2 linked regions of the Kluyveromyces lactis genome follow. The main gene of each other region encodes a partner of the protein of the gene in region 2 in a complex. Links are inferred from orthologs where the notes say so. Each region holds a gene or a part of one and is shown on either strand. Other genes may lie near its edges.

The links. The genes of interacting proteins can lie anywhere in the genome.
Region 1: RSM18 (region 2) and RSM27 share a complex: the UniProt entries of both Saccharomyces cerevisiae proteins name them as parts of the mitochondrial small ribosomal subunit. The link is inferred for Kluyveromyces lactis from reciprocal best matches to the Saccharomyces cerevisiae genes RSM18 and RSM27.

What each region holds. Positions count from the first base shown.
Region 1 is NC_006041.1:1,440,373-1,442,823, reverse strand, and holds RSM27 (mitochondrial 37S ribosomal protein mS33), read left to right. Parts: upstream 1-1,600; coding exon 1,601-1,927; downstream 1,928-2,451. Other genes in the region: RPS0A (40S ribosomal protein uS2), read left to right, coding at 366-1,040; KLLA0_E16149g (uncharacterized protein), read right to left, coding at 1,274-1,438; GPI1 (phosphatidylinositol N-acetylglucosaminyltransferase), read right to left, coding at 2,142-2,451. UniProt on the Saccharomyces cerevisiae protein: Component of the mitochondrial ribosome (mitoribosome), a dedicated translation machinery responsible for the synthesis of mitochondrial genome-encoded proteins, including at least some of the essential transmembrane subunits of the mitochondrial respiratory chain.
Region 2 is NC_006041.1:409,226-411,524, forward strand, and holds RSM18 (mitochondrial 37S ribosomal protein bS18m), read right to left. Parts: upstream 1,057-2,299; coding exon 589-1,056; downstream 1-588. Other genes in the region: protein kinase PKP1, read left to right, coding at 1-455; KLLA0_E04577g (uncharacterized protein), read right to left, coding at 1,286-1,672; KLLA0_E04599g (uncharacterized protein), read right to left, coding at 1,957-2,299. UniProt on the Saccharomyces cerevisiae protein: Component of the mitochondrial ribosome (mitoribosome), a dedicated translation machinery responsible for the synthesis of mitochondrial genome-encoded proteins, including at least some of the essential transmembrane subunits of the mitochondrial respiratory chain.

The DNA.
Region 1 (2,451 bases), about 1.0 Mb from region 2:
TATTTATATTTGTTGCTCTTTACCTAACAGCATAGAGGATATACGTACGTTAAACATTCTATTTCCCCTCGTTATTTCAATTCTGATTCCCTTCGAACAAGGATATCAGACTGAAGTACGAGAGGATATGGTTTTAACTGAATCTGTTAAAAGAACAACAATTGAAATGGCCTGCCATTTCTAGGGAACTAAAATAATAATAAAAAAGTACACGAACATCTCCTCTATCATATGGTAATATCTGCACTTCGAAAAGTGTATCCTGTCGCATGTTGCGGTTGGGAAAAAGCTCTCTCTTTACTAACAATATATTTTTAACTTTTGCGAACGAAACGTTTGCATGGTTATTTTTTAATTATTAACAGGTTCACCAAGAACCATACGTCTACAAGGCTAGACCAGATGGTGTCAACGTTATCAACGTTGGTAAGACCTGGGAAAAGATTGTTTTGGCTGCCAGAATCATTGCTGCCATTCCAAACCCAGAAGATGTTGTTGCTATCTCTTCCAGAACTTATGGTCAAAGAGCTGTCTTGAAGTACGCTGCTCACACCGGTGCTACTCCAATTGCTGGTAGATTTACCCCAGGTTCTTTCACTAACTACATCACCAGATCTTTCAAGGAACCAAGATTGGTTATCGTTACTGACCCAAGATCCGATGCTCAAGCTATCAAGGAATCTTCTTACGTTAACATCCCAGTCATCGCTTTGACCGATTTGGACTCCCCATCCGAATACGTTGATGTTGCTATCCCATGTAACAACAGAGGTAAGCACTCCATCGGTTTGATCTGGTACTTGTTGGCTAGAGAAGTCCTAAGATTGAGAGGTGCTCTACCAGACAGAACTCAACCATGGGCTATCATGCCAGATTTGTACTTCTACAGAAACCCAGAAGAAATCGAACAACAAACTGCTGAAGAAGAAGCTGTTGCTTCCGGTGAACAAACTGAAGAAGCCGTTGACGCTACTGAAGAACAAACCGAAGCTGCTGAATGGGCTGAAGAAGGTCAAGCTCAAGAAGAAGAATGGAACTAAACTTCAAGAATTCTTTAACTGAATTCCTGGAAGTTATTCCACCTTTTTTTTTGTTTAATTCATCATTCTATAATATAGATTCAATGCTTAGCATACTATCATTGTTATTATTATAGCTTCATGCAACAACTCTCAACCATCCGCTCATATTTTTAACTATTTTTACTAGTTTTTAAAACTCCACATCGTGTATAATTTTAATATCATTATTGATCCAGGCTAGTACCCGATAATTATACAAAGAATTGAATATTATTTAATTGATTGAACGTGCCAACTGAATATTTCCCCTTCAATGGTGCTTCAGTACCCAGTATGGCAATGTGACCCTTCTCGCATCTCTCATCGCTCTTATCCTCATCATGGTGATAATTTCCTGATAATGAAAATTTGAACATTGGAACATTCGAAAAAAAACTGAGCTTGCATAAAATAGAAACCTGCTGCAGAAGTAGTAAGTGAAAGTACCAATAAATAGGTCTTAGGTGTGCTTTAACTCTCAGCGAACTAGTTTGCGGGTTGTTCCATCAGTTATCACTCATATTTTCATATTTTGAGAAATGTCTGTACCCAAATCTAGGCTACTGAAGCTTGCTGAGATATCAGCCAAAGTTTTTGATCAAAATTTCAATCCAACAAATGCCAGAACTGGGTCTAAGATCCTAGCACAGAGGCTTAAAGGACCTGCTATTGCGAATTATTATGGTAACCCAGATTTTATCAGATTCAAGCAATTGAAGAAACTATATCCAGGCATGAACTTCGTTGATGAAGAAGAACAATATAGATTGACTATGCTTGAACTAAGAAAGCGTAGAGGTAAGGGTGCTCCAACTAAGAAGAGAGAGGCCTCTGGTGACGGTAAAAAGACCAAGAAGAGAAAGTGATCAAAATGAGCCCAGCCTATCCTTTTATCCCACTTAAAGGGACTTGCAATTAACATTTCCATCATATAAAAATACCTTGTATATAAATTATATCAGTCAGTTCAAATAGACCCAAGAATTTAACGAATTTCAACTATGTTTTTATTAAATACGAATATTCAAGTAAGATTCAAACTATGCAATCTGTGCCATTAATTGTGGTTGTGAGAGGGGTTTATATCGTATCTTGTTCCATTACCATCTTTAACTTTTTCCATAGTAAATCGATATCAATTGGATGTCTCGGTAGATTATGGTACAAAACACGATAGAGTTCATCTCTTCGTACATTAAGAACTGATCCCTGACTCACCATCTTCAAAGTCTCAACCGAGAACATCTGTCTTTGAATGGATTTCATGACGTTTGTGAATGGTTCAAAGGTCATGAAAAAGCTGATTGGATTATTCGATATTAATAAGTGATCATCATATACTTTGAACTTGATACCACCAGGTAACCTTTTAGCATCTTTTATCCGTAAA
Region 2 (2,299 bases):
TTCCAGTGAAAATTATGGAAGGGTCTGATGTGAAATTTTCATATATACCTACGGATCTAGAATACGTCCTTCAAGAATTGCTTAAGAACAGCTCGAGAGCACATATTGAAAACAACGTTGACAAAGATGTGGAAGTAACAATAGTGAAAAACGACGATCAACTTGAGATCAGAATCAGAGACTTCGGAGGCGGTATAGATCCACAGGTAGAAGACCGAGTCTTTGATTATTCTTTTTCCACAACGGTGAAGGAAGAGAAGGACAGCGGTATGAGCGATTATGTTTTACCTGGTCAAGAAGTCCAAAACGTTGCAGGTATGGGATTCGGACTTCCAATGTGCAAAGCGTACCTAGAGTTGTTCAATGGTACACTTGACATTCAGTCATTGTGGGGATGGGGTACTGATGTTTATATACGATTGCACGGTCCATCGGATAGACTATTCGACAAATGAGAACACTGTACTATCATTCAGTCCCGGAGCTTTCCATTGCAACGTGTTTATACTGTTAGCGCTATTTACAGATATAATCCTATTTATTGAGAAACATATATTCATATATACAAGAAGTTATCACATGTCATGATTAGCTTCTGTTTGCAGTTCTTTGAGGAAGCACCGATATGTCTTTGTGAACCTTAGACATCAAACCTATTGCTTGGCATCTCTTAATAGCCTTTGTTAGACGACGCTGGTTCTTAGCCGATAAACCAGTTACATCTCTGTGTAATATTTTACCCGTTGATGTCACAAATCTTGACAAGAACTCTGGGTTGGTGTATAAATCAAGTGGATTGATCTTCAATTTGTTGAATGGGTCAAACGATCCAGGACGTACCCCAAACTTCTTATCTAAATGTATTCTTTCTAAGGAGAAATCAAATGGATTGTAAACGGAGCCCGGCTGAAAGTTTTTGATTAACTTGGATTCTAGCTTCTTGATTGTGGGCTTGCTATTAGCTTCCGACATACCTTCTTTCAGAAGTTTTTGGTCAAGACTGTTGCAGACATATCTTGTGGTAGAAAAGAATCTTGCGCAGCTGCGGGAAAACATTTCTTCTGATGTGTTTTAATTTATTCAATCTCTCGTTAACAGGCGTAGAAAGGCCCGAGCGACTTGGTTGTTTTCCTTCTCTTGCTTGCTTAATATTCATGTTATTGAATAAAATTTTCCATGTTGAAAAGATCTCTAAATTTCAAAAAAAAAGAGATTGAAATAAAGGATACTTAAGTCATTGCCAGGCATTCAACCTTTTTCCTGTTGTCAACCCAGTTTACGCAGATCAACCTTGGAGGTGTAGCGCGATTGATCGGAAAGCTCTTGCAGGAAGTCGGGCATCCCTGTGGATCAAACCCGGCGCGCTCCAGCACCTACAGGCCGATGCAATCGGCCTCCTATTCTTTGACCTGGCCAAAACTGATGATCCGTTTGCTGGGTACCGGCGACGGTACCGCTGAGCGCTGCTATGCCGGCAGTCAGGTTGGTTATAGCCAGCAAAATGGAGCCGAGTGCCTACCCAGGTCAGCGGTGCGTTGCGCTTGGTCACGTGTGAGATTTCGTGTGCCAGCATCGAGGCTAGCTGGCTTTCATTGTCGGTAACCTGCAGCAGTAATGGATCTTTGATCAGCGGCGCGCTGGCGCGCTGCTGCCGCACGTAGAAATCGCCCATAGCCAGCCGTGGGCCACAATCAAACGTTTACCCCAGCTTTTCGGCAGGGTCTTGATTCTTGGCTGGATCTGATGGGAATAATGAATCAGTAAATAACTGCGATTCTGAACTAATTCGAGGATTTTATCAATATTGGTGTGATTTCCAATGTAACATCAATTCATCTATTATCAGTCAGTGTTCTATCCGCTCTGGTGGTTATTCAGGTTAAGTAGGTTAACATATAAACGTAACAACAAATTAAAAAGCTGGAAAATATTACTACTTTTCCAGCTTTCAATCCATTAATCGTTAAATACAAAACTTTCTTCAGCTAGATTGTGGTCTTTTCTATAACTCTCGTCCAATATTAAATAATCATCTGGTTGTTTAGAGCTTACTCCTTTCAACCAAAACTGTTCACCGTAAGCTATCAGCATTGCCCAATGATACTCAAGTTCATGGCTACGAAGACATACTGCCAGATAACTATCAATGGGCTTACATACTAATGAAGACGATAAAACCATTAATTCAGCCTCATCTTCTTTTTTATTTGCATACTTAACGATAATTGCTTTAAGCATTTCTACCCAAGTATGGAAATTAAAAACAACTGTTTCTTCAGGATCATCTTCGTCTTTAAAA